3 linked regions of the Neurospora crassa OR74A genome follow. Each later gene encodes a partner of the first gene's protein in a complex. Links are inferred from orthologs where the notes say so. Each region holds a gene or a part of one and is shown in the gene's direction. Other genes may lie near its edges.

Region 1 (2,675 bases):
CCGTCAAGCCGCCTTTGTTTTTCACGCGCGGGTTCGACCCGGCCTCCAGCATCATGTCCACCAGCTCGTTGCCGAACTCGCGCTGCGCTTCCGGCTCGCTGTTGATCCATCGGACTGCGCTGTGCAGCGGGGTGTCGCCCTCGAGTCGGTTGACGGGATCGCATTCAAAGCCTGGTTGGTCGAGGAGCATGTCGATTATCTCGTAGTTGCCACGGAGCGCGGCTTCGTGGTAGAGGTGGTTGCCCATCACGGTGGTCGTGTTGTTCAAGAGGGAGGAGATTTCTTCGTCGGATTTGTCGGCGAGAATTTCCGAGAGGAGGTCAGTGTTGTTACGCCGGCAAGCTTCAATGAGCTGCTCGGAGATGGAGGCACCCTGTATTTTGGGGGGTGAAAGAAGGAAGGGTTAGCTGGGGTTGTCTGTAGTATAGCTGTTTGCGCGAGAGGGCGTAGGGCGGGTGAAACGGGGGATAGAAGAGAGAGGGTGTTAGTTGGGGGTAGAGGACGCTTGTGTGGTACGAACCTCGTGTTCTTCGTCCTTTCCGGCCATGGTTACTGGTAGGTCACTTGTGGTTGTCTCGGAAACGGCGGGTGATGTTTCTTGGTTGTAGGAAGAAGCACAAGTAGCGAAAACGACGGTGAAAGCGAAGAGGGATGACGGCGAGAGTTGTCCAAAGTAGAGAGGTAAGATTGGCCTGGAATTGCTAATTACGAGCGGGAATCGTGGAAATGGGTCGGCGGGGGAGAGTGGATGTACGGTATGGAAGTGGCCAGGCTGTCGAATCAGGTAATCGGTCGATTCCTATAAAAGGATCGGGATCGCGTAACGCTCAATGAGGGATCTTCGGGGTAATAAGAGGGCGGCGAACGACTGTTTGTAGGGTACAGTGTACTGTATTCTATGAGATATCTCCAGTCGTGGTGGTGGTGGTGGTTGTATGAAGGACGGGATGGAAGCATTCCGTACCTCTACCTAACGGGCTGGTTAGGAGGTGGCAGTGGCAGTGTCGTCTTCCCTTGGTGTTACAGAATGGTCGGCTCCTTGCGGGGCCCGATCAGGACGCTGGCATTCAGATGGCATGCGCTGAGGCCCAGCTGCATGTCAGTGAGTAGGTACGTACCTACCTTAGCACAGGCACAACAGAAAGGGCCGTTGGGTCCAGGCACCGCTGACCAAGTGTGGGACAGTTGATGATGCAGATCTGACCAATGAAAATTCAAGCGCTACATTTAAGGTTTATAGAATTAACGGACCGCATCGAGCTATAACACTTTTTTTCAGGCCATCGCCCCTACACTGACTATTTACACTCTAACAACTTATATCACTACCTTAAAGCCCAGCAAGTGGTAGACATAAACACCGGTCTTGGCCAGCTGTTTTCACAAAAGGTACCAGCTTACGGCGACGCCTCTTCTCATCAGGATCGTCAACAAGACTTTTGGCAACCGCTCGACTCATCTCACTTGCTATTCATAACGGACGATAACACACAACAAACAAATCCAGTCCCTTCATCAATAGCAAACATGCCTATCGTCTGTAAGTCCAAGTCCACCCACAAAGGCTAGGACACCGGAACTAAACGCCCACCACAGTTTGCCCATTCTGCGCCAACCTCCTCATCCTCTCCCGAGCGGACACGGGTGGCAACAGGCTCGAGTGCAGAACCTGTCCTTACGAACACCCCATCGACAAGCCCATCTACTCCCGCAAGAACTTCCCGCGCAAGGAGAAGGAAGACGTGTTTGGTGGTCCAGGCGCTTGGGACAATGCACAAAAAGGCAAGGTCCAGTGTGACAGCGGAACTTGCAATGGCAACGAGGCAGCCTTCTTCCAGGTTCAAATTCGTAGTGCTGATGAACCGATGACGACGTTCTACAAGGTAAGAAGGGGATTGCAGACTGATGGGATAAAGTAAGAAGCTAACATGTCTCGTAGTGTATGACTTGCGGGCACAGGTGGAGAGACAACAACTAGAGGAAGAAGACATGTTCAGCACAGGTCTGGTCGGATCATCAATACATGGTATTGGGGGCATTGCTTGGCGTTGGGTTTTTCTTTTGTTTTTGTGTAGTTGCATGTGAGGTATTCTTCATCAGAATCAACTTGTGCGGTACTGGCCTGCCAGAGGCTACTTCCCACTCGTTTCCATCCCTGGCATCATTCTACCCGTGCAACTTATGCCGTGCTTGGAAAACTCTCTCGATGCCAGTCGATTCCGGCCTTCATGCCCTCTAGCCTGAGACGCTCGACCAGGTCTGGGCTGATGATGTCCTGCCTGAACTTTTCCTGCTGCAGCAACTCCAGGTTCTTCAAGGTAGGCCCAGGGTAGGTGATATACTTGAGGTAAGGTGGGCGGCTCCAGTACTGGAGATAGTCGAGGTAGGCGATGAAAGCAGGATTGCTGAGTAGCTTCCTGGACGCAAGATGGTTCAGGTACAGCGGGTTGCCAAGTGCTTGAACAAACTGAGTGTTCTGTTAATACCACGCACGCTGGATGATAATGTGTATGAAGCCTACCTCCAGTTCGAGTTCGAACCGTGTATATCCTCCATACTTGGGCTCGTCTGCCCCTGATCCCGGAGGCGCAGGTGGCTCCCTTGCTGAACTGTTTACTGACATGGGATCGGATGCCATGACGTAAAAAATGAGTGTTTGTTACAGTGTTCCAATC
Region 2 (4,013 bases), on another chromosome or scaffold:
TGACAGGCAGACAGCCGTCAATGTTCAAGGCTGGACACTCTAACCCTCACTTCTGCCCTGTGGAAGATTCAGTACAAGAGAGAAGATCGATTTACATTCTGAGCACTCAAATGTACGATAGCCAGGTGATAGCTATGGTAGACGCTGAGATATGGAATGTCTTGAATGCTCATTGAGACCATGGTAGAGAAAGCGAACGCACAAGTGCAGCGCCCCCGTGTTTAACCTTGATGTGAAATCTCCTCGCCTTTTTTTTTCAATTGCTCCTCTTTCGGATCTTGCCCCACTGCTGGGTTGGGTTCCAGGTCGATTCAAGCAAGGTAGCACCCTGCTGGAGCTGGCCTAGGAAAAGATGGGTACCTACCTACACTATGCTGTAAGACACGGCCAACGGTGATGCGACTCTTTGACGTTTGTATAGTCAGCCAGAAGCATAACCCTTCTCTGATTCTTGAAGCCTGAGCAGGTCACAGCACTTGGGAATAACATCAACCTCCGTTGTATGCGATTAGCAATTCAAAGGCTGCCATATCAACGAACAAAGACCGAAGAAGACCATCAACATGATAACAGGTAGGAGAGAAATAGTGAACGACCCGGCAGGTGATTTCATAACCAGAAGCTCTCCCCTGTTGACTGGTGTGTCGATCGAAGGCCCGGCTTCCGCTTGGCGCGGCTAGATTCAGCAGAACGGATACATAGCTATCTTGAGGTTACCTAGCTGGCCTGACCCCGCTACAAATTGTTCAAATCGCTGTGCTAGTTGAAGTTGGATAGGTAAATACAACCTACCACCAGGAGGCAGATGTGTCGGAGTTGCACAGAGGCGGGGGTTCCTTATCACGAACATCAAAGTGACGGTCCGGAGTCAAAGCAAAAGGAAAGGTTTCAAAGGTACCCGACAGGTGGAGGGCACGGCCAAAAGTGGAACAAGGAACCTACATAGGTATATGTAACTGTCAATCAGGGGTCCAAAACGTGGGCGCTAACAATTTTGGCCTCGGCATACCAGTTAGGTACCACTGCAGTCACTAGCAGTCACCGGTCACCGCACCACAACACTACCTCTAGTGTAGTGCACTACACACACTAACAGTCAAGCACAGACCACTCCCGCCCCGTCGTCCCCCACCGCCCCAGCCGCGGCTTACCTCTACTGACCTAACAAGAAATGGCAGCGGCCAGCCCGTAGAAAAAGTTTATCGCAACTAATCCTTATCAATTTGCCGCGGGGCCAAAAATCACATCGAAATCTACCTACACAACTGCAAGGCGTATCTTCTCAACCAAACACACATTCCCGGTCGTTCCGCGCCCATCATCGCCATCCTCCATTCCTCCGGCCCGATCGATACGACGAACCGTCACCCGCAGTTAGCACATGCAAGGATGGCGGCTCTCGACGATGGCTTTGAGGCCCTGCTGGAGCCGTTCTACAATGGCAAGAAGCTGACCGATCCCATCTCGACCACGCAGGACAAGTTCCATCTTGTCCCGGCCTTCCTCAAGGTCAAGGGCCTCGTCAAGCAACACATCGACTCGTACAACTACTTCGTCAACGAGGAAATCAAGGACATCGTTAGGGCCAACCGCGTCGTCCGCAGCGACCAGGACCCCAACTTTTGGCTCGAGTTCAGAGACATCCGCGTCGGCATGCCCACCCGCACCGAAGATGGCGAACAAGTCCAGTCTCGAAACCCCGTCACCCCCATGGAGTGCCGTCTCCGCGACCTCACCTATGCCGCCCCCGTCGAGGTCGACATCGCCTACACCCGCGACAAGAACGTTATCGTCCGCAAGAACATCCCGCTATGCCGCATTCCCGTCATGCTCAAGAGCGCAAAGTGCTACCTCAACGGCGCCACCAATGCCCAGATGGAGGTCTTCAACGAGTGCCCTCTCGATCCTGGTGGCTACTTCGTTATTGGCGGAACCGAAAAGGTCATCTTGATTCAGGAACAGCTTAGCAAGAACCGTATCATTGTCGAGGCCGACGAGAAGACCGGCGGAGTCATGGCCTCGGTTACCAGTTCCACACACGAGAGAAAGTCAAAGACTTACGTCGTACTCAAGAAGGACCGGATTGTCCTGCAGCACAACACCCTCTCCGAGCCCATTCCCATCGTCATCGTTCTCAAGGCCTTCGGTGGTCTTTCCGACAACGACATCATCGAGCTGGTTTGCGGTGGCGATGCGCGCTACCAGGACGATTTCCTCATCAACTTCGATGAAGCCGGAAGAGCTGGTGTCTACACACAACAACAAGCGTTGGAATACGTTGGTGCTAGAGTCAAGATGGGCGGTAACAGACCCAAATTCGGTGCCGCTCCTCGAAGAAACCATGCTGAAGAAGGTCTCGACGCACTTGCGAACTTAGTTATCGCGCACGTTACTGTTGAGGGTCTCGACTTCTATCCCAAGGCCGTCTACATTGCCATGATGGTTCGCCGCGTGCTGATGGCAGCTCAGAATCCCAAGCTCGTCGATGACAGAGATTTCGTCGGCAACAAGAGATTGGAATTGGCTGGACAGTTGATCTCCCTTCTATTTGAAGACTTGTTCAAAAAGTTCATTTCAGACGTCAAGTACAACATTGACAACTTTTTCAAGAAACCCAACCGTACCTCTACGTATGATCCCCATGGTGCGATCATGGCTAACGGCCATTATATCTCTCACGGTCTTAACCGCGCCATTCAGAGCGGCAACTGGACGGTCAAGCGTTTCAACATGAACAGAGCCGGTATCACCCACGTGCTCAGCCGACTCAGTTATATCGCTGCGCTGGGTATGATGACGCGTATCAGCTCACAGTTCGAAAAAACAAGAAAGGTTTCCGGTCCAAGAGCCCTACAGCCCTCACAGTGGGGTATGCTCTGCACCTCTGATACACCTGAAGGTGAAGCCTGTGGTCTGGTAAAGAATTTGGCACTCATGACACACATTACCACGAATGTGCCGGAGGAACCAGTTAAGAAGATGATTTTTGCTGCTGATGAGAGCGTGGGACCGATCCGAGAATACACCGGAACAGAGATGCACAGCAAAGGCTCGTATATCATCCATTTGAACGGTACACCATTTGCTGTGACCAGGGAGCCAAAGCGGTTTGCCGCCAGGTTCAGAACTTTGCGTCGCCGGGGCTGGGTCTCTCCTTTTGTGAGCATCCACATCAACGAGCACTTCTCGGCGGTTCATATCGCTACCGATGAAGGACGTATTTGCCGCCCGTACATCATCGTCAAGAACGGCAAATCCATGTTGAAGGCAGAGCACCTGAAGATGCTTCAACTCGGGCAAGCGACATTCGACACTTTCCTGACCAGCGGCGTGGTTGAGTATCTCGATGTCAACGAAGAGAACGATACCCTTGTGGCGCTTCAGGAGGATCAGATCACCAACAGCACTACGCACATGGAAATTGAGCCGTTCACGATTCTCGGAGCAGTCGCTGGTCTAATTCCCTTTCCCCATCACAACCAGTCTCCCCGTAATACTTACCAGTGCGCCATGGGTAAACAAGCCATTGGTGCTATTGCCTACAATCAGTTCAACAGAATCGATACCCTTCTTTATACCCTTGTTTATCCCCAACGACCAATGGTCATTACGAAGACGATTCAACTTATCCACTACGACAAGCTCCCGGCAGGACAGAACGCCACCGTCGTTGTCATGTCTTACTCTGGCTACGATATCGAAGATGCGCTTGTTCTGAACAAGGCTTCTCTAGATCGTGGATTCGGCCGCTGCCAAGTGTTCCGCAAGTATACCGCCGAATTGCAAGGCTATACGAATGGGCGCCGCGACAGGGTTGGCGGTATCATGAAGGACGAAGACGACAAGCCCATTGTTAAGCACGCCATCCTCGACGCCGATGGCCTGGCCCAGGTGGGCTCAAAGGTTGAATCCGGACAAACGATGATCAAGAAGGAGACCCCGTTGGACCAGATCTCTACTGGAATCGCTGGCGATCGTGGGTCAGACGATTACCGTGACGCATCAACCAACTA
Region 3 (3,556 bases), about 5.3 Mb from region 1:
TCTGCCTTCAAAGCCTCCAAGCCATACAGATCGTTGTTGGGCGCAAAGTCGTCGCCGGTAGGGACCAGACGGGTTCCTTGGCCCTCGTAGCTGGGCTCGGCATACCGTCTGAGAGCGGAGGCAGAAAAGGCGCGAGTCGAGTTGAGGTTGTGAGCGATGGTGGTGCTCTGGCGCATACAATGGCGCTTGGCATTGCGCCCAGCGAGTCGGAACAACGTCGTCGCCATTGTTGTTTGTGGGACTGCCGCTTGCTTTGGGTCGCTCAGAAGGTCAGGGAACGGAGATGGATAGATTCGCAGGATTGACAGCGACGGAGGACAAAGGGGAGGAGGTTCGCCGCTGGATGTGGCCTCTTCTCCGGCGGTTCAATGGCTCGCAGTGAGCTTGCGATTTCTAGTGATAGCAGTAATAAGGTGGTGGTGGAGATGCTTCAGTTGACGTCCAGTCGACTTTCCCTGACCACGGCCGCAGCAACGCCCCAGCTTCGAACTCCTCAAATCGTTGCCGTCAGTTGGTCAGTGAATTTCAACCCAATCAAAGGCCATCAGTTGAGCAGTCAGAGACCAAGCTTCTTCTGGTACAACGTTCCCCCCACGGCGGGCAAGCTCCCGTCTCGACTGTTGCCGGCCAAGGCGTTTATCCGGCAGCCGTGCCGCCAAGCGGTCCCATGGAGGGCAGCCGCGCTATATGCCATCTGATTGGCTGGTTGTAGAAGCCTCGGTCCTTCGCCAGGCAGTCTCGAGGCAGTGTAAGTCGGAATTTGGGCATTTTAGGGAGAGGTTTTCGCAGAAAGGAAGAGGAGGATGGAAGAGCATGTCCACACTTATAACAATGACCACAGAGATTCCAAGATGTGCTGGAGTTAAGAGTGGAGTTAGTCAACATGTCACTTACTCGCGACAAACCTCGATGTGGACATGGAATATGAAGCCCCGATGTCTTTCCCTCGCCGAAGCTACAAAATTGTGGATTTGGAATTGATACTCCCGACATGCAAGTATATCTAGGTAGTTGAAGTATCTCCCATCATACCTGCGCAGCCCTTTGCAAGTGAAGATCTAGCGTTCTCTCTTCGCCTCAGGTTTCGTCGATGGTCGAAGTCGACGGTAACCTGACAGAGGTTATGGCCCGCCATGTACCCTGTTGGCCTTGTCCCAGTCATTGCGGTCCTGTCCACAATTGTCTCCGCCGAGGCCCATGAGCATCAAGTTGAGCCAGGCAGTCCCTGAACCTCTCCGCCACTGCCTGCAGCACGATAAGATCTCAGCCAACCAATCAACCGCATTCCCGCGAAGGCGGTCAAAAAGTTCCCGTTCGTGGGAAAAATTCTGCCGCTCCATCGCCCGTCGCACAGCGCAGAGCTCTCTTTCCCAAGATTTTGCCCGGCGTGCCGACCTGCGTGTGAAAGCGAGAGGGTAACCCCGCCAACCTAGAGCATTATTTACACATATCGTCGCAATGGGATCCTCAAAGAAGCAGACCGCCGTGCCCGTCAGGACAAAGGTCCCGAGCCCAGAAGAGGTTGAGAAGCGTAACGTACGTCAATCACTGGCTTGCCGCCCATCATCATCAGTCGAGGCTGCGCAGCGCATGCAACGCGGAAACTGATGGCATTTTTCTTCTGCAGACTGTCCATATCAACGCCGAAACTGTCACCAATGTCACATCCACCGACTTTCCCGGCTTCTACCCCGGCGAGGATCATTCCTGGGATATCGAAAAGTTCCGCGAAAGTGTCCGCGTAGTGTTCCACCAGAACGACCCTTATGAGGCTCAATTCTCGCTCATTGGCGTCGACGCCTCTATCGCCAATGCCTTCCGCCGTATCATGATTGCCGACATCCCCACGCTGGCCATTGAGGACATTTTCATGTGGAACAACACCTCCGTGATCCAGGACGAAGTTCTTGGCCACCGCCTGGGCCTGATCCCGTTCACCGGCGGCAAGGAAGGCCTCCATAACTTCCTCAAGTGGTACAAGAAGGGCGAGACCCCGTGCGACTACAACACGGTCGAGCTCGAGCTCAAGGTCAAGTGCGAGAACAACGAGAGCGCGCCGGCAGACAGCAAGGACCCCAAGGAGCTCTACCACAACGCCCATGTTTACGCTAAGGACATCAAGTTCGTGCCCAAGGGCCGGCAAGCCAAGTACTTCTCGGGCGAGAACGCCATCCGGCCCACGAACCCTGACATCCTCGTCGCCAAGATGCGGCCGGGACAGGAGATCGATCTGACGATGCACATGCACAAGGGCGTCGGGTCCGATCACGCCAAGTTCTCCCCCGTCGCCACGGCCTCGTACCGCCTCATGCCGACCATCACCATTCTCGAGCCGATCCTAGGCCGCGACGCCGAGAAATTCCAGAAGTGCTTCCCCGAGGGCGTCATCGGGCTGGAAAAGGTCACCAAGGAGGAGGCGAAGAAGAAGGGCAGCGGATACGAGGGCCATGAGGGCGAGCTCAAGGCCGTGGTCCTGGACGCCATGCGTGACACCGTCAGCAGAGAGTGCTTGCGCCATGACGAGTTCAAGGACAAGGTCAAGCTGGGCCGAAGGAGGGATCACTTCATTTACCTGGTGGAGAGCACGGGGCAGTGGGAAAGCGACGCCATCTTCCTCGAATCGATTGCCCACCTCAAGGAGAAGGCGAAGAGGTTCGAGAAGCAGGTGGTGAACATGGTACAGTAAACATTGTACCAGGGGTAGGAGGATTCAAAATAGCACGAAGAAGAGGTGAGGTTATTTCTATGTACGGTGGTTGAGACAGAATTTGAGCGATCATGATGTGGAATCACACAGGGAAAGAGGAAAAATCACACGGATTAGGTCGTGAGGATACCCATCTCTCTTGTAACCATATAAAAGAACATTGGAACGGCGTCATGGAGGCTAGGGATTGGTGGCCAGCTTTAGTTTAATGGTTTCTGCTTGTTAATTATCATAGACATGTCGGTGCACATGAGTCATGAACCACACTGTCTTGCATAAACACAGTACCCCTCATTTGACATGATGTCTTTTGGTTACGTACTGCGTAGCATATTGTTGAAGCACATTGTTAATCATATCTTGTATTCACATCTAATTAATTGCAAAGGAAGTTAACTCATCGCTATAGCCATCTTGCGGGTCATTCCCCGCTGCTTGTTGTGCAACGCTCCCGCTCGTAGGTAATTTACAAATCTAGTCCCTAAATAGCATGAACAAAGTCCAGGCAAACCAGGCCAGGCCATCATGACACGTTCATGTCTGGGGACCATCATGCAAACTTGAGGCTGAAGTTGAACACCACGCCTACAAACGCTGGATCAGTAACGGCGAGCTCAGTACCTTCCGTCAGCCCAAGCTGCTCAAGTGTCTTCTCCAAGTTTGGCCGCGTCTGCTCCTCCAAGTTCGGGGGCAACTGCATGTACAGCGTCTTGCCCTCAGCCCGCACCGACGGCTTCTTCAGTTGCGCCTCAGGAAGGGTAGCAAACGACTCTATGAGCTCTTCGAGTGTCCACTTGGGGTTGACCTTGAGCACCCTTGCCGTCATGCCGCACACGGGGCAGTCCTCCT

Evidence for each region.
Region 2: NCU00570 (region 1) and NCU01772 share a complex: the UniProt entries of both Saccharomyces cerevisiae proteins name them as parts of the RNA polymerase III (Pol III) complex. The link is inferred for Neurospora crassa OR74A from reciprocal best matches to the Saccharomyces cerevisiae genes RPC11 and RET1.
Region 3: NCU00570 (region 1) and NCU02533 share a complex: the UniProt entries of both Saccharomyces cerevisiae proteins name them as parts of the RNA polymerase III (Pol III) complex. The link is inferred for Neurospora crassa OR74A from reciprocal best matches to the Saccharomyces cerevisiae genes RPC11 and RPC40.

What each region holds. Positions count from the first base shown.
Region 1 is NC_026501.1:7,970,123-7,972,797, forward strand, and holds NCU00570 (DNA-directed RNA polymerase III polypeptide), read left to right. Parts: upstream 1-1,288; 5' UTR 1,289-1,527; coding exon 1,528-1,540; intron 1,541-1,596; coding exon 1,597-1,883; exon of another isoform or gene 1,884-1,939; coding exon 1,940-1,978; 3' UTR 1,979-2,159; downstream 2,160-2,675. Other genes in the region: NCU00571 (hypothetical protein), read right to left, coding at 1-373, 521-547; NCU00569 (SOH1 family protein), read right to left, coding at 2,180-2,467, 2,522-2,638. UniProt on the Saccharomyces cerevisiae protein: DNA-dependent RNA polymerase catalyzes the transcription of DNA into RNA using the four ribonucleoside triphosphates as substrates. Component of RNA polymerase III which synthesizes small RNAs, such as 5S rRNA and tRNAs.
Region 2 is NC_026502.1:2,490,072-2,494,084, forward strand, and holds the start of NCU01772 (DNA-directed RNA polymerase III polypeptide), read left to right. Parts: upstream 1-1,203; 5' UTR 1,204-1,389; coding exon 1,390-4,013. UniProt on the Saccharomyces cerevisiae protein: DNA-dependent RNA polymerase catalyzes the transcription of DNA into RNA using the four ribonucleoside triphosphates as substrates. Second largest core component of RNA polymerase III which synthesizes small RNAs, such as 5S rRNA and tRNAs.
Region 3 is NC_026501.1:2,645,830-2,649,385, reverse strand, and holds NCU02533 (DNA-directed RNA polymerase I and III polypeptide), read left to right. Parts: upstream 1-1,349; 5' UTR 1,350-1,458; coding exon 1,459-1,536; intron 1,537-1,627; coding exon 1,628-2,686; 3' UTR 2,687-3,046; downstream 3,047-3,556. Other genes in the region: nuo49 (NADH:ubiquinone oxidoreductase 49kD subunit), read right to left, coding at 1-227; NCU02532 (NEDD8-activating enzyme E1 catalytic subunit), read right to left, coding at 3,258-3,556. UniProt on the Saccharomyces cerevisiae protein: DNA-dependent RNA polymerases catalyze the transcription of DNA into RNA using the four ribonucleoside triphosphates as substrates.